Notamacropus eugenii: one gene and its partners. The protein of the gene in region 3 interacts with the protein of the main gene of each other region in a pairwise test. Links are inferred from orthologs where the notes say so. Each region holds a gene or a part of one and is shown on either strand. Other genes may lie near its edges. The genes, in order: SAV1, IL1A and HAX1.

What was found.
Region 1: the proteins of HAX1 (region 3) and SAV1 interact in binary tests that used the Homo sapiens proteins (3 or more experiments, as listed by UniProt). The link is inferred for Notamacropus eugenii from reciprocal best matches to the Homo sapiens genes HAX1 and SAV1.
Region 2: the proteins of HAX1 (region 3) and IL1A interact in binary tests that used the Homo sapiens proteins (3 or more experiments, as listed by UniProt). The link is inferred for Notamacropus eugenii from reciprocal best matches to the Homo sapiens genes HAX1 and IL1A.

Annotation. Positions count from the first base shown.
Region 1 is NC_092872.1:308,773,834-308,781,338, reverse strand, and holds the start of SAV1 (protein salvador homolog 1), read left to right. Parts: upstream 1-4,211; 5' UTR 4,212-4,618; coding exon 4,619-4,712; intron 4,713-7,505. UniProt on the Homo sapiens protein: Regulator of STK3/MST2 and STK4/MST1 in the Hippo signaling pathway which plays a pivotal role in organ size control and tumor suppression by restricting proliferation and promoting apoptosis.
Region 2 is NC_092872.1:717,206,635-717,215,151, reverse strand, and holds the start of IL1A (interleukin-1 alpha), read left to right. Parts: upstream 1-5,024; 5' UTR 5,025-5,093; intron 5,094-5,903; 5' UTR 5,904-5,912; coding exon 5,913-5,959; intron 5,960-6,843; coding exon 6,844-6,892; intron 6,893-8,517. UniProt on the Homo sapiens protein: Cytokine constitutively present intracellularly in nearly all resting non-hematopoietic cells that plays an important role in inflammation and bridges the innate and adaptive immune systems.
Region 3 is NC_092873.1:378,175,865-378,183,716, forward strand, and holds HAX1 (HCLS1-associated protein X-1), read left to right. Parts: upstream 1-4,438; 5' UTR 4,439-4,544; coding exon 4,545-4,950; intron 4,951-5,048; coding exon 5,049-5,230; exon of another isoform or gene 5,231-5,377; intron 5,378-5,724; coding exon 5,725-5,776; intron 5,777-5,954; coding exon 5,955-6,061; intron 6,062-6,168; coding exon 6,169-6,259; intron 6,260-6,757; coding exon 6,758-6,843; 3' UTR 6,844-7,057; downstream 7,058-7,852. Other genes in the region: UBAP2L (ubiquitin-associated protein 2-like), read left to right, coding at 436-633, 1,044-1,094, 1,955-2,050. UniProt on the Homo sapiens protein: Recruits the Arp2/3 complex to the cell cortex and regulates reorganization of the cortical actin cytoskeleton via its interaction with KCNC3 and the Arp2/3 complex. Slows down the rate of inactivation of KCNC3 channels. Promotes GNA13-mediated cell migration.

The DNA of each region.
Region 1 (7,505 bases), on a different chromosome or scaffold from region 3:
TTCCAGGTTTTTCTGAAGTCCAACTGTTCATTTCTTGTAGCACAATAGTATTCCATTACATTTATATACCACACTTTGTTCAGCTATTCCCCAGTTGATGGGCATTCCCTTAATTTCCAGTTCTTGGAAAACAAAAAGAGCTGCTACAAATATTTTAGTACATGTGGGACCTTTGCCCATTTTTATGATCTCTTTGGTATATAGCCCTAAACGCAATATTGCTGGGTCAAAGGGTATGCACATTTCTGCAGCCCTTTGAGCATAGTTCCAAATTGCTCTCCAGAATGATTGGATCAGCTCACAGCTCCACCAACAATGAATTAGTGTTCCAACTCTCCTACATGTTCTCCAACATTGATCATCTTCCTGTTTTGTCATGTTAGCTAATAAAATAGCTCACAGCTCCACCAACAATGAATTAGTGTTCCAACTCTCCCACATGTTCTCCAACATTGATCATCTTCCTGTTTTGTCATGTTAGCTAATATAATAGGTATAATATAATATATAATAATATAATGTGGTAGCTCAGAGTTCTGATTTGCATCTCTAATAAATAGTAATTTAGAGCATTTTTTCATATGACTATAGATAGCTTTAATTTCTTCATCTGGAAACTGCTTGTTCATATCCTTTGACTATTTATCAGTTGGGGAATTACTTGTATTCTTATAAATTTGACTAAGTTCTCTATATATTTTAGAAATGAGGCCTTTAGCAAAGACACTGATTGTAAAAATTGTTTCTCAGCTTTCTGTTTCACTTCTACTCTTGGTTGTATTGGTTTTTTTTTGTATGTGTGTGCAAAAACTTTCCAATTTAGTGTAATCAAAATTGTTCATTTTGCATTTCATAATGTTCTTTATCTCTTGTTTGGTTATAAATTCTTCCATTCTCCATAAATTTGAGTCTACCCATCTTTTGGAAAGTCTGTATGATATAAGTCTTGGTGCTCAATTTCCTTCTACAGTTTTGCTAACACTTCTGTGAACTGGTCATCAATTGCTTTCTTATTAATCACATATCTTTTAGCAATCATATCCAGACATAGGGTCTGGCAGAGGGAGGGAAAGAGAGACTGCATAAATCCAATCTATCAAACCCATTTCTTTAGGAACTTCACCCCATCCTTTGTCATCCTTATGAGGCCTGTTGTAAACAAGTCACCATCTTAGTTACCTGAAAAGGAACAAAGAGCATTTCCTGCATGGGATTCTAATAAATTTAGTTGACTCAGTAAAACCAGGTTCTCACCCAGGCTATGAAAGTTGCAGGGAGCAGAGAAGATTCCTTGCAGAGAGCATCCTTTACTTCTATGTTCTCAGGAGCATCCAAGGCCTCCAGTTTTCCATTTGAACTTTTCCTGCAACTATCCTAATGCCTTGGTGGAAAAAAATCCCAATAGCTTGCTCCTTTAGGAGGGAGTCAACTTCTGCTTCCTAGAATCAGTGATTAGATAAGCCTGGAGCTTTTTTTTTTTTTTTTTACCACTTGTGAGAATTCCCCAATCTCTGCCCTAAATCTGTTCTCATTCTTTAGAGGGTTGGAGTAGAATAGGCTCTTGAGATTCGGTTCCACAGGCTATTTGATAGAGAAGTCAATGTGTAGTTGAAAAGGGGCGGAAGGAAAAGGGAGCTGTCAGGAAAGTTGGAAAGAAATGGACATCTTAATGGGATGTAGGTGGGTGGGAAACTAGATACATACAAAGCAGATGTGAGGTAACCTTGGATGGGAAACAACTTTCTGCAGACCTTTGAGATTTTCTCAGCTGTCTTGAAGGAAATCAGGGATTCCAATAGATGATATCTTGAATTTTCGTGTATCTGGTTTTCTAACCAAGCCTGGGACATTTTGCATACTGATGAATATGCAGGAGATTTGACTCAGGTTGTTGGAGAGAATACTTGATGTTGAGTACCTGAACAAGATATAGAGCTGGTGCCAGTACTTTTTTTTGGGAAAAGACTTGTGGTTCCAGACAATCCTTGGACAAGATGTATAGAGGAGCTGTAAACGTACAGGGGAGTCTGGCTCACCAGTATGTCCTGATTTCAGGGATTGAACAAGTATTCTGTGCTATTGTTGTTCAGTCATAGCACTACAAGCCCTTCCATCCTCCTGTATCTTTCAAAATCTGTCCAAGTTCACATTCAATTGTTTCCATGGAACCATCTATCCATCTCCTCCTTTGCAGTCTCCTTTTCCTTTTGCTTTCAATCTTTTCCATGTGTCCAAAGTATTTAAGCTTCACCTTCAGTATTTGACCTTCCACTAAACAATCTGAATTAATTTCCTTAAGAAATTGATGGAATTGAAAGAAAAAGGAAAAGGGGACAGCAGTTAATTGATATTGAGTTTTCTGTCTTGTTATGAGCTATCTTATTATTAAAGAGTTCATTCTTTGATATATTCCAATGTGTGTAACTTCTTTGATTGTTTAGTTGTTTGAAATGGTTTTACTTGCTATTCTTCATTTGTGATGCTACTTTGTTTAACCAGTGTTTGGTGGAAAGGTGGAAACCTTCTTTTGATCTTCTCTAGAAATATGAAGAAACATGTATTTTTCCAGTCTCAAAAATCCTTCCCAGACTTGTCACCTTAGGAAGGTGGGTTAGGTCAATATTCAGGAAACTGGATTAAAAGTGGAAAACAAATTTTGAACAGAGTACCTCTTCTCTTATTAAGATCATAACTAGAGTAGTGGGTGACCCATCCTTGGGAAATAATCTCTTTTCCAGTAAGAAAGAAGCACCTCTTGTTGTTCAGAAAAGATTACGATTTTAGAAAGAAGATCCTTTCAGAATTTGAGAGGAATAGTTCAGGAAGGAATTGAGTGGTTCTAGTCGAAGATTAAATAACTAATATTCATGACCATTGTTCTGAAATGTCATACCAAACTACTTTAACAGTTCTTATAGATTCTTATAAATATTTCAGAAAATTATCTTGGAGCATAAAGACGTCCTGAGGCATAAGAATGAGTTCAGTTTGAACATTTCTCTCTCTAAGCTGGAAATGCTTATATATAAAGTTATGTGAAATTGTTTCTGGCAGACTTGTGTCTACAATACAGATTATGAAGTTAAATTTTTTTTTTGACAGCACTACACTTTTTTGAATGAGGGCTATTCTCATCTTTAAGAGTAATCAGGGACCTGGCTTTCCTTCAGAACTATTCTTGTACACCTGAGGAGGAGAAAGTGAGGCTGGTGACCTTGCACAGCCCTCCTAAACTCAAAATAAAGTCAAACGCAAGTCATATCATCATTTCTCTGATGTCATGGTCTTCTTGGAAAACGAAAGACGAACACAACAACAACCTGTACACCTAGAATACTGATATTTGAGATGGCAGATAGATGTACTTATAGCTTGATACTTCTCTTGGAAACAGGCAAGAGAAGAAGCAAGAGTTCAGTCATGGCTCTTCTCTGCTCTTGAGGTAGGACTCAGTCTTCCTTGGAGAGGTAAGCCAGATTTTAGAGAAATCTATCCATGTCATCAATGAGTCCCGTCCATACAACTATTACCTTTTTATAGGACAACCACACGACCTAAATTTACTGAGCATATTGATTTTAAGAATACTGTATATTTCAACAAAGCTTTGTAAAAAGAATTTCACTGGTCAGACTGCATCCTGGGCTCTTGGATGCATTATTATCTTTCCCACAAATATCCTCCACTCCTCCTATGCTATTCCTTTGGCGTGTACCACCATTTTCCTAGTCACCCAGGCCCACAACTTGGATGTTACTCTTACCTGCTCAAGAGTGGCAATTTTCAAGTTTATGTTTAATATTTTGTTCATATAATTGTGATATATGATTTTGTTTTTCCATATTTTCTTTAAGAATAAATGTTTCCTTTTCCTATTTTCTATTTCATTTGTATGCTGGGAAGGGAATGATTTTGACTTTTGCCTATCAAATACCAATTTTAAACTGATCCTCTCCTCTCCTTCCCTTCTCCCCTTCTCTTTTTAAGCCCTTGTCGGGCTAGGGCTGAACATTTTTTTCCCCGGAGGGTCGAACTTACAGATCTTGAGATGGAATCTAATGAAGACTTTCCCCGTCTTCCTTCCTGTCCTCAAGTACTCTTCTTTCCTGGCTTCCTCCCCGGACTCACTAAGAAGAGCCGCCCCTGGCTACTCCTTTAAGCTCTCCCCGCGCTGTTTGTGCCCGGCTAGAGAACGGGCGGAAGAGGGCACGTGCTGCGTACAATCCCCCAGAATCCCCTGCAGCCTACAGGAAAGGTCCCGGGCGCAGGAGTCTGCCGCGATTTCGTTCCCGGGCACAGGCCGAGCCGCCGCGGATCATGGCTCTGGCCTCGTTCGCTTGCGCTTCCCTGGGCGGCCCCGCGGAGCAGGCGAGCTTCCGGAAAGGGTCGAACGGGAGCGTGCGGAGCGGCCGACACACTTAGCAGCCCCGTAAAATGCAGCATTCTCTGCGGAGGAGCCGGGGCTTTGGGGCGGCGGGCGACTGCGGCTCGCTAGCGGCTGGAAGGGAAGTGGGCTGTGGCGCTGCCCCCTGGCGCGGCGGAGGCCGGGGCTGCCCGCTCTAGGAAAGTTCGCTGGGCGCCTGCGAGGCTTCGGGGGGCCCCGGACCGGGCCGGCGAGATGTTGTCGCGAAAGAAAACGAAGAACGAAGTGTCCAAACCGGCCGAAGTGCAGGGGAAGTACGTAAAGAAGGAGACCTCGCCACTGCTGCGGAGTGAGTCCCTGGCGAGCCGAGAGGGGGCAGGGGCGTGGCGGCGGCGCCGAGAAGGGAGGGCCGGCTGCCGTGGCCCTGCGCTCCCTTCGGGGCCTGAAGCCCGGGAGTTTAAGGCTTGGCTTCTGCTGGCCCCGCTGCCGGGGAGGGTGGAGAAGGAGCGCTTGGAGCTGCGTGTGGATGAGGGCTGAGCTGGGTTTGGGCGACCTGGGGCTGGCGGGAAGGGGTGCCAGGCACCAGTCAGCCCGTGCTTTGGCCAAAATCTATACATTCACATATATAATTCATACCTATAACTCTGGGATTTGCCTGGTTGCTTTACCTGTGTCTCCTTGACTTAGGTTACTTCCAAGGGCACTATTTTTAATGATGTTTATTTTTTGGTTTCTTTTGCTTTGGTTTGTTTTCTCCTTCGAACAATTAACTAAAAACAGTACATGAGATATCAAAATCTTGCCCTTAGGACAGAGTATCACGTTATATGTTACTCTGTATCCATGTTGGCATTGTTTTCACTTACGATAAAAGACTTAGTGTAACAATGTGAATTATGATTCTTCAGGGAGTTAGCCATCTAAAAGTTTAAATTTGAAGTGTTTGGAAACCAGTTCCAGCTTTTAGACATCTGGTGAAACAGCAGGCCTTTATTAAAGGCCTGCTGTGTGCTAGAGAAAAATGAATTGGCAAATGCTTTCAAGGAACTTAAGTTCTATAGGGAAACAGTATGCATAAACATAAATAAGAAATATAATTTTTAGGAACGGTATTAGCAGATGGGGAGGGATGATAAAAGAGGTGGCACTTGAGCTGACTTTTGAAGGAAGTTAGGGATTCTAAGGCATAGAAGAGAGGGAATTCGAAGCATGGGAGGACAGTGCAAAAGCACAGAAACAGGTGATAGAACAACAGGAGGGAGGCCAGTTTTGCTGGATCATAGAATGTGTAAGTAAATAAATAGAAAAGCATTTATTGAGGGCTAATATACTATGTGGCAGGTAGCCTATTAGGTGCTGGGGGTACAATGATGAAAGTGAGACATTCAATAAACATTTACTAAGTGCCTGTTTCTGTTGTCCTTCAGTTGTAGCAGACTCCTTTTGACCCTATTTGGGGTGTTCTTGGCAAAGGCAGTGAAGTGGTTTGCCATTTCCTTTCCAGCTCATTTTATAGGTGAGGAAACTCAGGCAAACAGGGTTAAATGACTTGTCCTGGATCACAGAACTAGTAAGTGTCCCAGGCCAGATTTGAACTGAGATCTTCCTAACTTCAGGCCCAGTGCTATACTCACTGCACCATTTAGCAGCCCCTTTTAAATGCCTTCAGTGTGCCAGGCACTGTGCTAAGCACTGGGCATTGACAGTTCCTGCCCGTAAAGGAGCTCACAATTTATTGGGGGAGATAACATGCAAACAATTATGTACAAAGAAGCTATATAGAGGATAAATAGTAAATCATCACAGAAGAGATTAGAATTAAGAGGGATGGAGGGGGCAGAGAAGGCAAGGGAAAGGGAATAAACATTTATATAGCATCTACTAAGGACCAAACTGTACTAAGCTCTTTATAAACTTTTAAGTTTATTTAATTGGGATTGGAAAAGACATTTTGTATAAAGTGAGATTTTAGCTGGGACCACAGAGGAGGGGGGGAGAATGAGTTCAGTTTGGAACATGTTGAGTTTAAGATGTCTCTAAGATATGTGCAGTAGGCATTTGGAGATGGGAGCTGAGCTCAGCAGAGAGGTTAGGATTGGATAAGGAGATCTGAGAATCATCAACATTAAAGATGATAATAGAATTCATAGGAGCTGATGAGATTATTAAGTAAAATAATACAGAGAGAAAAGAGGGCACAGAATAGAGCCCTGTGGGATACCTAAGGTTACTGGGACTCCCCTGGATGAAGATCCATCCAAGAAGACTGAGAAGGAGCAGGTAGGAAGAGAACCAGGAGAGAGCAGTGTCCTGAATACCTAAAGCAAAGAGAGTGTTGAGGAATGGAGGATGACCAAATGTGTCAGAGATTTCAGAGAGGTCCAAAAGTCTGAAGATTAGGACAAGGCCATTGTATTTGGCTGTTAGAACATCATTGTTAACTTTGATGAGAGCAATTTTGGTGGAATAATGAAGTTAGAAGATGCCAGATTGTGAAGTTAAGAAGATAGTGAGAAGAAAGGTAGTGGAAGCATCTATTATATGTGGCCTTCTTAAGAAGTTTAATCACAAAAGACTAAAGAGATATTGGATGAGAATTAGTGGAGATGGAAGATCAAGACATAACCATGTTTTTCAGGCAAGAGGGAAGTAGCCAGTAGACAGAGATTGTATTTAAGTGAGAGAATTGGCATGATAGAGGGGGCATACCGCTGGAGGAGATAGAATGGAATGGAACCACTTATGCAGATATCCGGGTTTGCCTTGGCAAGGAGAGGGGCCACATCGTGCTTCAGGTGAAGGAGGAAATAGTAGCAGTTTGTATCAGAGTATTATAAGGTGAGGAGGAGGGGAGAAGAGGTTTGCAAGAACATTTGTTGAGAGTGGAATAGTGAATTAAATAGGAAAGTATGGAGTGATTGCCTAGCAGCAATGAGGACACATGTAGTTAGGTAACAAATTTGTAGTGGACTCAGAACAGTTGTGTGATTTTTCTCCTTTGTTCAGCAATTGTATAATGATGCACACTGGGAGTGTGGAATGATACAAGACTGAGACTTGGCTGGGCATAATTGGCCTTATGGTAAGAGGACAAGACATTTAAGAGGTGAGGACATTATAGAGTTGAACTGGGAAAGAGGAG
Region 2 (8,517 bases), on a different chromosome or scaffold from region 3:
TAATTTGTAGTCTTTTATTACATCCTTATTTTGGGTTTTAAGTGACCATTCATTTTCTAGGCTTTTCCAGTCCAAAAATTCTCTTGATAGAGAAAGCAAGAGTAAAATAAGTTAAGTAGCTCTTCCTTCCCTCCATAATTCATTATTGTCAATCATCTATCCCAAGCATCAACCCAATCAATCCCAATAAATCAAGCATCTCTGATGAACCAATCAATAAACATTTATTAAATATCTAGTATACGCAGGCACCATGGTAAGCACTTCCTTTGTCGGTGGGTTGTTGAGTAGTTTTTCAGCCGTGTCTGACTCCTTGTAATCACATTTGGGGTTTTTTTGGCAAAGATACAGGGAGTGGTCTGCCATTTCCTTCTTCAGCTCATTTACAAATGAGGAAACTGAGGCAAACAGGGGTAAGTGACTTGCCCAGGGTCACACTGCTGGTTAAGTATCTAAGGCTCAGAAAGGTGAATCTTCCTGATGTCAGGTCCAGCACACTATCCACTGCGCCACCTAGCTGCCCTGGTAAGCATTGGGAATGAAAAACACAGGGATCAAAACAGATACAGCTCCCAACTCAATTTAACTGCTTCACACTTTCTGTGAACCTAGCTGTATAAGACACAGTTACTAGAAAGAGGAATAAGCAACAATGAGCTTCCTGTCTACCCTTAGTTCTTTTTCACTTGTCAACCACTGGCTTATGTTGCAATATTTTAAAAGCTCCATGATGCAAGGATGATTTCATCTCTGTCCCTGTAATCCCCCCCAGTCAAGCCCAGTGCTTGGTGTATAGTATGTCTTAATAGAGGATTCCTGGACTTGGAGACAGGAAACTTTGAATCCTGCCCTTTGATATATAACTAGCTGCGTAGCCACAGGTAAATCTCTCAACTTCTCTGCACCTCAGTTTCCTCATCTGTAAAAAAAGGATAACAATACCTGTTGTAACAAACTCACAGGGTCAGTGAGTCTTACAAGGAGGCAGTGGAGGAATAAAGACCTTTCCAAACCACAAAGACCCAGACCAGGAGCTCTGAACTGGACTCCAGGAGTTTATTTTTTCAAACACTTAGGTAATTGTATTCCAATATAATTGGCTTCCTTTGTAATTCCATGTGTTATATTTTCTGTATTAAAAATAAAAAACCCCAGGATTCTGAGTGGTCTTTAAACTTCATCAGATTGACAAAAGTGCCCAAGACACAAAAGGTTAAGAACCCCTGGTCTAGACAAACACCTCCTATTATTATCAGTTGGATGGAAATTGTAAATGACATAGTCGTATTTGTTCGAACTCTGCCAAAGGAAGGTTTAGAAAGAATCAAAGTAGGGGAGAAGCAGGACAAGAAGGAAAAGGGAAAAGGAATGATGAAGCTTGCTGCGTAGAATGGACATTTCCACAATAACATGAGTACCACTAAAGACGTGATTAAACCCAAACCAGAATTTGAGAACTGGATCTTACAGACATTGGCACCCAAACAAAAATGTAGCCCAAAACCCCAACTTTACAAATAAGAAAACAGAGCCCCAGTATGATCAAAAGATTTGCTCATTTAAGTAGTGACAGAGAAAAGACTAAACCTAGGTTTCCTCCTCATTCCCTAGTCCATCAGGACTCTTCTATGTAGCATACCATTCTATGAACCAATCATGCTTGTGGGAGACCCCAACCACATCAATGTAACTGTTCCTGTTGCTGCCCTTTGGATCATGGATGTAGACCCAGAACTCCTTGCTTCCCTCCTTACGGAGGGAACAGAAGGTTCTGTTGAATATATTTCACTGAGTTTAAGATTAACTGGCTTTGCTACTAACCATATGTAAAAGCATAATTGGACAGAATGTTTGCAGGCTAATTACCAGGCAACAAATTGGATCAACTGATTGGTTAACCATCATCTACTTAACACTTGACTATTAGAATAGTTGAAAAATTGATTCAGTTACTCCCATAGTCCATCAGTCATGCATAGACCTGGGCACAAGGATATATAGAGAATGTATATGATTCCGGTGCATTGTCGTTGGACTTTTGAATTGGTCTAAAAATTCTGGAAAGCAACTTGGAATTAGGTTAGGAGAGTGATAAAAAGATCATACCTTTTGACCCAGAGAATCCACTGCTAGGCAAATACCCCAAGGCGATCAAGAACCAAAAAAGTGTCCACACACACCAGATCTTTATAATAGTCCAAGGACCTGGAAACAGAAGGCCATCAACTGGGGAATGACTACTCACATTTTGGTACATCTGTCAGTCAGTCAATAAGCATTTCTTAAGCACTTAATATAAGCCAGTCACTGACCTAAGTGCTGGGTACCACTGGGACTTCCTGATATGGCCATGATGAATTGTCTAACCAAGACTCTTGACTAAGCATGAGGATCTTATGGAAGACCTTGGTGACTTTTGTTAAGACCTCACCTGACTGGGGCACTGTTTTGGGGCACTGTTTCTGGGCACTGACCAAACCCCAACTCTACTACCACTACCTACATTTATCATAATCACTTTTATACATATCTCCTACCCTCCATCATGGCATAAGACCCTCGAGGGCATGAGCTATATCACTCTTTATCAACTGTGCAAGAGACCCCAAGTTCTCTGAGCATCAGAAGCTCTGAATTGGAAAAGGTCTTTCAGTCCAACCAGTATCTGAAGAAGAATTCTCATCTACAACATACACCAGACTAGTGGCAATCCAGGTGTCCACTGAAGTAAAAGACCCAACATGGTGCTTTACACATGGTAAGCACCTAAGACATATTTTCTGAACGAACTGGAATTATGGAATTTTCATTCTGTATGCTGTTTTCCTAGTCCCCACCCTTAAGAAGCACAGGTAGATCTTAGGATACAGATGGGGGTGTACTGGTTGTGTTGATCATCTAGACTTAAAGAAAGCAACGGAAAAAATGTTAGTAATGGAAATTAACTTTAAAAGAATCTCTCATGCACATTTTTTTGGAAAGTCGTTTGTTAAACATTTACCAGCACACCCTTACATACAGAACATGCATACATAAATAATTATTTAAATGTTAGATCTTCACAATGACCCCATGAGGTAGGTGCTATTATTACTTTCATCGTAGAAACTCAGTTTGAGAAAGGTAACATGTGACTTGGATAGGGTCACACAGCTAATTAAATGTCTAAAGGAAGATTGAAAGACAGATCTTTCTGACTCTGAGACCAGCGGCTGTCTAATCCTTCTAGCAGTGTGGAGAGAGTGTTGATTTTGGAATCAGGAAGACGTACGTTCAAATACTACCTGATGAAATGGGGAGCAAAGGCAGATCTTGAACCCAGACTTTTCCTGATTCAAAGAACAGTTCCCCAAGCTCCCAGGTACCAGCAATGTATAACCTGAATTTTTCAGAACACTCCAGACTTGGGCGAAGGCCGAGTGACAAATTCATGTCTCTTGTGATATTTACAGCATACAGAGTCCTAAGACCTCACAAGACCAAAGTCTCTCTTTGTACCCTCTCTTCCTCAACATTTCATAAGAAAATATTGTTAAAGAGGGTCACAGGAAGGAAGTAGTCTAGTGACCAGATAGTTATCTTAGCTGTCCCCTTGACATCTAGGATATTCTCTTCAGAGGAGTCAATGCTAAACTAGTCAGAACCGGTAGAATTGTTGATAGACTCAGGGTTTTTCCTAGATTACCAAAGAGAAAAATATTCATCATCCCAGCAGCTCATCTCCATAGTGGTTCAGTTACTACTTCCCACTATGAAGGAGCAAGTAAAGAAATATTACATACAAGGAGAGCTGTCAGGCCAATCTGATGGGAGCTTAGGGTGCATGAAGAGTAGGATGAAATAAGATTAGAAAGGTACATGAGAGACAGGAGACTTTAAAGATCATAGGAGATGTTCCCAAGTGATCCAACCCACAACTGTCATTTTTATTTAGCTAAACCCCCTTGGCACTTGAAGCTCACAAAGTACTATGCTGTTACACCTGAGTTAGAATCAGGAGGAAGGGTGATGATTGATGTCAAAATGTATTCATTGTGATGGAGAAACCAAGGCAAGTGGGAAGGGCTAGAATGTGTCCCTTTCACTGTTCAGACTCTTGGTGACCCCATTTGGGGTTTTCTTGGCAGAGATACTGGAATGATTTGCCATTTCCTTCTCCAGCTCATTTTACAGATGGGGAAACTGAGGCAAACAAGGTTAAATGACTTACCAAGGGTCACACAGCTAGTGTCTGAGAACATATTTGAACTAGGAAAGATGAGTCTTCCTGACTCCAGGTCCAGCACTCTAGCCACAATGACACCACCTAGTACTGCCCAGGGCAAAAAAAGAGCTGACCTGGAAGCCACTGGTTTCACCCACTTTCACCAAGCCCTGAGCTCTCAGGGGTCCTACCACAGGATACTTGCATTGGAATTTGTGGGAGGTATGAAGGACTCAAGTTCCTTTTCAAAGGTGAATATTTCAGTTGCTAAAAGTCCCAGGCCCCACCCCACCCCCAGTTCCAAATCCTGAGAAATCTGTCCCCTGCAGCCCTCTTTATTGTGTCTAGACTCATTACCAGATTCCTGGGAAAGCAGTTTTCACAGAGACCAGGCCATGACTCCTGATGTCAGCAGGGCCTGACAGCCCACTGTCCTGTCCCATTCAGGCCCCCAAAGTCCTGATTGGGAAGGGATACTCACTTATTTCTCTATTACCTTAATGCAAATGCATTACATTATAATGAAAAACATTTTCCTTAAGACAGCCCTACTGGGTAGATAATATGAGTGTAATTATCCCCATTTTACAAGTGAGGAAAGTGACTCTGAAAAGAGAGGGTAACTTGCCCTCAGTCCCAAAGTTTGGAAGTGGTGGGACTGAAAATCCAGCCGAGTGAGCCTTCTTTCTCCCTAGACAGTCGAGGTCAATCGCCTTTACCAAGAATACAAAAATACTTCATAGTGACTTCTGATGTTGTGCAACTTCTAGCCACACCCCCGGGCAGTATATGCATGTATATATAAAGGCAGTCGGGGAAGTGCAGTCAGTCACAAGTCTCCCGGGACAGACAGAGAGACATAGTCACCCAGAGCCAGAAGGAACAAGAGGTAAGTAGTGTGACTGTCCCGCCTCTGGTCTCTGCATGCTTTTTGGCGTCAGCTGCCATCTCTGAAACTGCCTTGGCTGAAGCCACAAGCTCAGCATCTCCCTGTCTGTCTAGTGCCAGACACACTGCCTTACCTCAAGATAAGGGATAGTGTGCCCGGAGGGGTGGGTGAGGCTTGGGGGAGAGGATTGGGGAGGAGATCCTTCAGAAATGATCAGAATCAAAACATACTGATTTCTCCCAACTCTGCTTTTTGTCTCGTTGAGTTTTTTTATAAGAAAGCAAACTGGATTGCATCCAGCATTAGCACCTGGTAGAACGTCGGTTCGGTAAAGAATGAGATGCTTTCATTTCTCTCTCTGTATTCTCACTGTCTGGGGCAACTAGGTGATGTAGTGGAAAGGGCAGGCGGTAGTCCGAAGGAAACGTCTTCCTGAGTTCAAATCTGGCCGCAGATACTCACTAACCTGTGTGACTCTGGGCAAGTCACTTCACCCTGTCTGCCTCAGTTTCCTCATCTGTAAAAAGGGCTGGAGAAGGAAATGGCAAACCACTCCAGCATCTCTGCTAGTGATACAGTGGATAGAGTGCTGGACCTCCCAGATAAATTTACTATCTATGTGACCCTGGGCAAGTCACTTAGACTCTGTTTCCTCAACTGTCAAGTGAGAATGATAAAGGCCCGTGCCTCCTGGGGTTGCTAACAGGATGTCATGAGATAATAATTGCAATGTGCTTAGCACAGTGCCTGGCACACAGTAGTAGGTACTTAATAAACATTTATTCCCTTTCCTTTGCTTTTCTCAACAAGGAAGTTATCATGGCCAGAGTCCCTGACATGTATGATGAGCTCCATTACTCCTATGGGTAAGCAGGTATTTTTCTTTGTTTTAATGCCACAAGGCAGTCTGAATGCTGGCTAGCTACAAGGAGAGGGTAAAACTGAACTGTCCAACTAATAAAATTGTAAGCAACGTGGCCACAGGCCAACAGGAGATTTCACACAGATGTGTCCTAGATCTGGAATCAGGGCAGATTTGGATAAAAGCCTGGAAAAAACAAAATCCAGACAAAATCCAAAGAAATCTTGTCAGAAGGAAGGATGGCATTCCAGAAAGTTGTTTATAGGAATGTGCAAGAACTGGTCTATGAATGTTAGCTTCATGTTCCTTTGCTGAGCTACAAGTGATTTGAGAAAGGGAACACAGACTTACCTGATACTAATCAGAACTATGAACCGATTGTTTGTGTGCGTGTGTGCGTGCGTGCACATGTATTCCCTTTCCTTTCCTCAGTGGGTGGAAGGTTATTAACTAGATTAACAAAGTACTAGAATTATGGAATACTTTAAAGAAATACAGTTCATTCTTTTTAGTAACACACGTAATTGACATGCAATATTTCTGAGTAGAAAGAGTGATTCTAAAACACTTGGCCAACTATCTGTTTTCTTAACTAGATGAAACATACTGATTTTTAAAATTGCTTTGGTTTTTCTAGCAAACTATTTTCCCAGGTCAGAGCCTATTCAAGAGATCACTAGCGCTGAAGTAGAGGGATCTGTGTTAATAAGGGCTTTCCATATGTAAATGTAGTCACATTGAGCTGTAGGTAATTTTTAAAGATGATGTGAAGGTTGGTGTGATTAGAATCTGTCTATGTGTGACTCCTGGAAATGACATGATCATTAAAACGTGTTGCCAAGAAGCGGTGACCAAACAACAAATAAAGCATTCCTCCTTGCTTTGCAGTGAAAATGAGGAATTTCTTTTGGACATTGACCAAGTCTCACTGAGTCAGGTAAGGCAATGATTGTCAGCCTCTTAAGATTTCTGTGCTTGAGAGTGAATTGAATGGGATGGGATCATGTCTTAAAAAAATGAAATTAAGCGGTGAGAGAAATATATCGGGAGGAGAAAGGGAGAAGTGGAGTGGGGCAAATTATCTCTCATAAAAGAGGCAGGCAAAAGACATTTTAGTGGAGGGAAAAAGAAGGGAGGTGAGAGAAAAACATGAAGTTTACTCTCATCACATTCCACTAAAGGAAGAAATAAAATGCACACTCATTTTGGTATGAAAACCTATCTTACAATACAGGAAAGTGGGGGAGAAGGGGATAAGCAGGGTGGGGGGGAGGATAGAAGGTAGGGCAATGGGAGGAGGGAGCAATTTGAAGTCAACACTCTTGGGGAGGGACAGGATCAAAAGAGAGAATAGAAGCAATGGGGGGCAGAATAAGATGGAGGGAAATATAGTTAGTCTTACACAACATGACTATTATGGAAGTCATTTGCAAAACTACACAGATATGGCCTATATTGAATTGCTTGCCTTCCCAAAGGGAATGGGTGGGGAGGGAGGGATGAAGAGAAGTTGGAACTCAAAGTTTTAGGAACAACTGTCAAGTACTGTTCTTGCTACTAGGAAATAAGAAATACAGGTAAAGGGGTATAGAAAGTTATCTGGCCCTACAGGACAAAAGAGAAGATGGGGACAAGGGAAGGGAGGGATGATAGAAGAGAGGGCTGATTGGTGATAGGGGCAATTAGAATGCTCTGTGTTTTGGGGTGGGGGAAGGGGAGAAATGGGGAGAAAATTTGGAACCCAAAATTTTGTGAAAATGAATGTTAAAAGTTAAATAAATTAATTAAAAATAAATAAAAATTAGAAAAAAAAAAAGATTTCTGTGCTTGGAGAAATGTGATCTTTTGTCCTTGTCTCCCTGCAGAAGCAAGAGGTTCAATATGGTAAATGGCAGGCCAAGTTGAATGGAAGCAGATTATATTTCATTTCACTGGATTTCCTTGATAAAAGATCCCTTTCTCACGCAGTACAGGAATATCTTAAGGACCCTTTCTGAGTCATAAATACAACTGTCTATCAAAGGATTATAAGATTTTAAGTTTGTTAGGAATGTCCAATTCCATCATTTCCAAATGAGAAACCTGAGGCCCTAAAATGTTCAATAATTATCTATCTATATCTAGGGAGATACACACATACACATATACATATATGCATGTATTTACATCTATGTATGTGTGCATACATGCCTACCTGAATATGTAAAATGCAGCTAGGTGGTGCAGCGGATGCAGTAGTAGGCTTGGAATCTTCCTGAGTTCAAATCTGGCCTTAGCTGTGTGACCCTAGGCCACTTACTTAACCCTGTTTGCCTCAGTTTCCTCAACTGTAAAATGAACTAGAGAAGGAAATGGCTAAACCACTCCAGCTTCTCTGCCAAGAAAACTCCAAATGAGGTCACAAAGAGTTGAACATGACTGAAAAATGACTCAGCAACTGGGATGAAAAAAGAGATGAGAATAAAAAGATGAGAAAGGGGGAATGGGCAGCTCTAAATCAACAAATTATTTTTTAAACAACTAAGAGTCACAGCTAAAAGTAAGTCTTTCTGATTCCAGACC
Region 3 (7,852 bases):
GTAACTGAAGTAAGGCTTTCTAGATTATCCATGGATTTGGTTTCTTACTGTTTCCACATGATGGCAGCTAATTAAGAGTTTACTATAATTTACCAAGGATTTCAGGGAGATGTCCATTTGAAGACCTTCAGTATCCAAGAATTTTCAGACTACTACTCCATTTCTTCTAAGAACTCAAAGTAGTTCTGAATGCTATCTACCTTTATGCATAGCAGTGCTAAATTCAACCAGTGTCATTGGCACTTTTAGCCTGTAGTTACATTGTACAAGATAATGCAAGAATAAAAGAGAGTGGAAATTATGGCTCTTGCTCTGAGTTTTCAATCTAGTTCGATGAATTGCCAAGAGTGAAGAATGGTGTTAAAGGATAGGGAATCAGAAGTAGTCAGGAATGGCCCTGCTGATTCCATTGTGCTTTCCCCCATCCCTGAACAGCAGTCCTTTGAGAAACAAGGTTTTCATTCTGGAACTCCTGCTGCCTCCTTCAACTTGCCTTCAGCCCTGGGGAGTGGAGGGCCCATCAATCCGGCCACAGCCGCTGCCTATCCGCCAGCCCCTTTTATGCACATCCTGACCCCCCATCAGCAGCCACACTCCCAGATCCTCCATCACCATCTGCAGCAGGATGGCCAGGTAACACACCGTTCCCCTCTTGTCTTTCTTCCCCCACTGATCCTTTTCCCTACCACTCCTTAAAGCTGCCTCCCCCTTCCCTCTTCCCTTCCCTTTCCCCATCTATCCCCAGCGCCGGCCATGGGCACACAACACACACAGACACAAGCGTACACGACACAAGCGGCCGGCAAGGGAGTTGACAGAGAGGGGGCCAGGTTGGGGAGCTTTTTGCTCAGCCCGATAGGTACCTGGAGGGGGTTTGAGTCCCCTCCCTGTTGTGGCACACTTCATCCCCTATATTTTCCCAATAGCCCTGGACCATGCCCCACCCCTCCCCAATCCTGCCACTATAGCTTTCCCTTCTAACCATGGATTTCTATTGTCAAAGTTTGTCCCTTTATTTTCCATATATCCTGGTTCTGCCTCAGCTACCATATTTGCAGATGATTCTCTGTTGCCAGCGCCAGCAGGAGGAGCAGGTAATGAAACTCTCTGAATGATATAATTGTACCTACCCCCTGCCAGTCCCAAACCCCACATGCCACAGCCCTGGGGAAATCAAGGAGAAGAAAGATTGCGCGGCCACAAATCGGGATACACAGACACACATAGACACACTCACACACTTTGCTGGGCTCTCCGGCCTCCCCTTCCCTTCTCCTCCTCTCCTTTTCTCTCTTCCCAACTGTAGAAGGCACTTGGCTACTAGAGTGGATAGGGTTCTTGGGAAAGCATCTGAATCTTGGAAGCCTTAGACAAGTCTCCCCTCTCTACCCTGCTCAGTATATAGGGGTCCAGTGATATGATGGGGGGTGGAAGGGGTGTTATGGAACCCATTCTTTTAGTGCCCTATCTCCACAGCAGAAAGTAGTGCTCCCTTGTTTCTAAGGCAGTGCAAATAAGGAGTCACAGGGATCAAAATCAGTTTAACCCAGCTCTTTTGACCACTCATCTGAGAATCTTTTTCCAGATGAGTGGCCTTTTTGGTGAAGTGGAGGGTTAAGATGAAGAATGAGCAGAAACTGACTTAGTCCCTTAGATGAGCTCTGAAGGTATCTTGCCCTCTGCATTTTCTTGTCTTGAAATCAGAATTATGCTATTGCTGACCGAAGAGGGACTAGAACTTCCAAGGGTTCCATCGATTATGCAGACAACAACTTCTTTGGATTAAGGGCTTAAGGGAAAGTGTAGCCTTTGAGTGGTCTTTTGGCAGGAGGAGAAATGGAGGAACATGACAGTTCCCAGGCCTTCCCACCCAAAGGTCCCTGCTAATTGGCCTCCTTTCTCCTCCCTGTCCTCCCTCCCTCCCCCCCCAACCCCAACATCCCTTCCCCTGCAGACGGGCAGCGGGCAACGTAGCCAGACCAGCTCCATCCCGCAGAAGCCCCAGAGCAGCAAGTCTGCCTACAACAGCTACAGCTGGGGGGCCAACTGAGGCCCTGGCCCTCTTCACCTCCTTGGCCCCCCTACCTGCCGAGAGGGCCTCAGCCTGGCACCTAAGGAAACAGCTACAACACAAAAGCACGTGGAGTGGAGGGTCCTGCTGCCCCCCCGCAGCCTGCCCCAGGCCTCAGCTTCACTTCTGAAGGCCCTTTTCTTTCCTCTCCTACCTATCCTCTTGTATGTAATATAGGATTTGTATTTTTTTCCTTTCTCTTTTTTCTTCTCTCCCCACACTACCCCCGCATTCAAGATTATGAAACTCTTTGCTGTGGGCTCTGGCCTTCCTCTTCCTCTTCCTGCTCACCCTGGTGGTGGGAAGTGGCTGGGGGAGAGGACTCCAGATAGATATCATCAGCCTAACAGCCCTGTCTCCCTTTTTATTATTAGGAAAACAAAACAAAAAAAGTCATGAATATGAACAGATTTGTCAGATGAATTAGTTGAAGTGGTTTTTTTTTTTGTACTGTGTCCTCAAATTTAATGGATTAATGTGTCTTGTATATATAAAAAGAAAACCTCTACCTTCAGCCTCTGCCCATTCTTGCTTCGTCTAGGATGTCCTCAGTCTCCCTGATGACCAGCTGGGTGAATAAGTATTACTGTACCAACTGGGCCTCTACTAGCAGGCTCCGAAGGCAGTGGAATAAAATGAAATCTTCGCCCTTTAACAACTCCTAACCATGATGTGCCGGTGTCCCCTTCTTCCTGACACTGAGTCATTCGGCTCAATTCTCAGAAGCACTTCACCTTTAGTGTTAAACTAGGAAGTGAGAAGGGCAGTGGGGAGAAACTGGGTTGGAAACAATGTTTTCGCACAGTAAAGCAGTGGAACATGGGCTGATCTAAACATATTACTTGGGAAGCACCCAGGAGTGGGGTACACAACACTGGCAGAATCAGTTTGTGATTTTCTGGGAAGGGTCTTGTTTAGGTAGAAAGGAGTGGAAATACAGAGTACACTTTGGGCGGGGTGAACAATAAATCCATCCGACCCCTCCCCCTAGCCACCGCAACTCCAGCTTCCCTTTCCATCTCACCATCGTTCCCCCTTACTTCCACATCTGTGCTACCCTCGGGGCCCACGGAAAGCTAACCCCCTTGTGGCTACAAAATTTAATTAGGGAGGAGGATGGAGGAAGTCTGTCTTCGTGTCTCCATCTGCCTTGGTAAACACAGAATGCACCTTGAAGACATCTTGTCCATCTTGCTTTTAGACGTATCAGCCTGGCAAGAATCAATTTCAGAACGTCAGAGCCGACAGGCACCCTGGAGACCGTCACCTCGATCTCGAGGGTTTTACCCCGTGCTCCAACGTGGCCTGTCCTGTTCTGATTCAGCCTCTGCCAACCCCCAGAGCTGTTCTCTCGGCCCCACTGATGAGGCTTCCCTGCGCCTTCCAGCAGGAACTGTTGCCCTGTTTGTCCCAAGGGAAATCTGGGTTCGGCCCGCGTATCCTGGAGAGCTTTCGGGCTGCCAGAGCGGGCGGGGGTGGATGGAGCAGGGCGCCTCTAGCAGCTTTGTGCCCGAGGCCCTGCACTGTCTGGCTTAGGTTTCCTGACCAGACCGATCCCCAGCCCTCTTCCTTCCTGCCCGAGCTCTCAGCAACTCCAACCCGAGGGGTCCTGGGTTTCCTGTTGCACCGGCTACTCTGGCCTCCCCTCACACAACGCAGGCTTTCTGGGCTCTGTAGCATGGTGGGGCCGGGAGCATCAATCTAAAGGGGCAGGGTTGGGGGGCAGGAGCTGGGCTGCAGGACCTCCCCGGGAGCAGCCGGAGGGCAGGATCCGGAGATTCTGCTTCCACAGCCACCTGTCTCACGAAGCCCCCGGGGACCGAACCACGGATCTCCGCGGGAGTAAAACCGCTTCCTCCTCCACTTCGACCCGGATGTGCCCCTCCTCCGGCCCTCCTACAGTTCAGCCCGCTCCTTGGTCCTGCCCCCGCCGGCATCGCCGCTCCCTCCTTCCCACGAGCGGGCTCTTACGTTCGTTTTACGACAGTGTGACTACTTTTCCGTCAGTGTCGCAACTACCCTAGTAGCGCAGTCGGTCCGTCTGCCCTCCTCGCTTTCCGGCAGTACGGTCGTACTGCTCTCTCGCTTTTCGGCAGTGTGGCCGCATCGAAACCTCCCCTCTCCCTCGCCCTCTGCCCCCACAGTCCTAAGATAAGATCACTTTCCGGCAGTGTGGTGGATCCCCGCCGTCTGGTGCCCTTCCGGGCCTTGGGGTGCGGGCGGGTGGAGGGTTCGAGTCCCGCCTGAGGGATGAGCCTGTTCGACCTTTTCCGGGGCTTTTTCGGATTCTCGGGGCCTCAGAGGTGAGAGTGGGGCCCGGACGGTTAAAAAAATGGGGGGAGCCTTCGGAGGGGGACCCCGGCCCCTGACATCTCCCTCCTTCGCCCCCTGACTGTACGGTGCACCCGTCCAAACTGTCGCAACAGGTGGCGGGGGTGAGGAGAGACAGGGGAAGGGCTGTGTGTATGTCTAGATGTCAACAGTCTTCGCTCGCATGTTCACACGCACACACACGCACACACACACGCACACACACACGCCCCAAACCCAGCCTCCCCCGGGCTCCGGCCCGCTTAGGTGCCCTTTCGGTGTCCACGTCCTTGTGCTTCTCTCTCTGCCTCCCAGACCCAGGGACCCCTTCTTTGGAGGCATGACTAGAGAAGAGGATGAGGAGGACGAGGAGGACGAAGGAGGGGGCGGCGCGTGGGGCTCCAGGTTCGGCGGCCCTGGGGCCCCCGAGGACTTCACGTTTGGCTTTAGTTTCGGGCCTGGAGATGAGATGCGATTCCACGATAACTTTGGCTTTGATGAGCTGATTCGAGATTTCAACCGCATTTTCGGAGACATGGGGGCCTGGACCCTGCCCTCCCGCGCCCCCGGTGCGTGAAGCCCCGCACGCTGGGAGGCAGGAGACACGCTTCCTGCCCCCCCCCCCCCCCCCCCCCCCGGGCCCTGACGTGCCTTTGCCCTTTTGCAGAGCTCCCAGGCCCGGAGCGCCCAGACGGGAGGCGGAGGGAGGGCGAGACCATCCGGGACTCGATGCTCAAGTACCCAGATAGTCACCAGGCTAGGATTTTCAGCCGGGACTCGGAGAGCGGGCCAGGGCGTCCATCTCCCAAAGCGGGCCCGGACTGGGACTCCAAGAGGCCACTCCGTGGGGTGAGGCCCGTTCCCCTGGAAGAGCCACCAAACCTCGGGGATGTGGGAGAAATCCGGGGGACGCAGTTCCTCAGTGCAGGGAGCTCTTAGTCTAATGAGGAGACAGCGCACAGCTTCCAGGACGGATGGTCCAGCCCGGCTGCAAACGTAAGGGCATTAGTGCCGGGGCGCCAGGAGGCCAGACAGGAGCTGAGCTTGGCAGGGTGGAGAGTGATGAGCCTCGGGGAGGAACCCCCAGAAGGCAGAGAGGCCTCCGAGGCCTCCAGTCTGCAGACAAAGGGATGGGCCTTGTGCTTTGTCAAGGCCACAGGACGCGAGGGAGCAGAGCCAGACTTCAAACCCAGGTCCCCTGCTTTCACGTCCATTGCCCTTGTCACCATACACAGGGGGCCCCAAGGTAGCGAGGGTAGTTCAGGAAGCGGGGTGGGGCAGAGGATGGAGTTAGGGAGGTGACCAGAAGGGACCCCTTTCATCAGCTGTGGTTTCTTTTGCAGTTTGATGACATGTGGCCAGTGACTCCTGATGCTACAACCAGAGAGGACAAGGGTATGTGCCAGGGAAGGGGCAGGGCCACAAGGGGTCCTTGATTACCTTCTCAGACCCTTGCGCTCAAGTTCACTTCTTATCTCTGAACATTGCCAGCTTGCTTTCTGAGTATCTGATACCCCTCCACGACTTTTTTTAATGCCTCATCTCTTCTCACCCCCCCCTCCCCCCAAACCAGATCTTGATTCCCGGGTCTCACAGGAGGGCCTGGGTCAAGTCCTAGAGCCCCAGCCTAAATCATACTTCAGAAGCGTTTCCGTTACCAAAATAACTGGACCAGATGGGGTGAGCTAGATGGGGTGGGTTGGGGGTGGGAGGATCATGAAGGGCTGGGGTCCATGGAATATGTCATCTGTTCTGATCCTGAATATGTGGGATAACTGTTCCCACAGGTGGTAGAGGAGCGGCGCACCGTCATAGATAGTGAGGGCCACAAAGAAACCACAGTAACTCGTCGAGAAGCAGATGGCAGTTCTAGAGATGGTGAGTTGAAGAGAGAGGCAATGGTGAGACCATCCCTGAGCTACAGAGGTGAAAGGCCCTTGAAGGAGAAGCTGAGTTCTAATTCTCTTCCGTTTGCTCTCCTTAGTTCCAGTCTACACTATATCAGGCTATATCCTGTTCCCCTTTACCCTCTTGACCTCTCAATTAAATCCACTTAACATACCTTTATTAAATACCAATTACTGTGTTAAACCCTGGGGAGGTAAAGACAAAAATAAAACTATTCTGCCCTTAAGAGAGTTACATTCTAATTGGGGTAACCACATGTACACAGATAACTAAATAAAAGCACCCAGAGTTATTTCCTCAGAGAGAGAACTCAACCCAGCAAGGGGATCAACCCATGCAAAAGGACTGGAACTGGGGGGATGAAAGTTATTTTCCAGCAAACAGGCCAGTGCATCTAGAATTCAGGATCCTCAATCTGACACACTTCTGGTTCATTCCTTCCTGCCTGGATATTTAATTCTCCTCTAGATTCAGGTACCCCACAACATCCAGAGTTGGGGGACAGCTCCTCCATCCTGAATTCATTCCTAAGACGATGGTTCCGGTCTTGGTAGCCCAAGATGACTTCATGGAGGACTGCATCCCTCCCCTCCTTGGCCTGCTCATTACCATCTAGGGTTCCTGACATCACCAGCTGGCTCAGCTGATCTTCCTGCCACAATGAGGGTATGGGGGAGGAGGGGTAGGAAATGTGACAGGTAAAGAAAGAGGTACTCTTCATTTCCTCTCCCCCTTGTCACCGCCCAAATAAAATCTTTATTTATGCTACTGCCTCAGTCTCTTGGTGTGTCCAGCTCCCTGTAGGGCCCATCTGGGCCTTTTGATTCTCTTTGATCTGCCCCCACCTCAGAATGAATGAGAATCAAGTATAAATATTCTTGTATTCCTGTACTTGAATCAAGTATTAATGTTCCTAGTGAGGAACATTCCTCACTAAGAAATAAAGTTACTAGCATAAAAGTTTTTTTTAAATCACAGCAGTTCTAACCTAGTACATTTAGTAAAAAGTAATGGACGTTATCAAATGCTGGCTATTTGAGAGGGCCTGCAGAGGAGACCAGGGACTTAAAGAGAGGTTAAGGAGGCAGTTTATTCAATCTTTTCTGTTTCAGTGTTCACATAGGATCATAGGCTCAGAGGGCTTTGGAGGTCATTGGACTAACATCTTCATTTTTTAATTTTTGTTCTCTAAACTTAAATACTACATACACATAGCAGATCATGAAAAGGAATCTCTGTGAAATCCTAAATCTCCATTTCATACTGCTGGCATTTTTTTAAAAAGTATAGAACAAAGTCTAACATCTAACTTCAAAACTGCCCTTCTTTGTTCTGTTTTGACTGGCCCTCTTTTTCTTTTGCATTCCTAAAGCTAACTTTCTCCTCTTCCCTCCCTAATTAACAAGAAGGAAAAACAAAACCCTTGAAAGAAACAAGCATGGTCAAGCAAAATGAGTTCACCTGGTGAGTGCCTAGGTCCACAAATATTTATCTGTTTCTTCACTTATGTCCAACAGCTCTCCATCAGGAATCAAATAACATACTTCATCTGTAAGTCCTCTG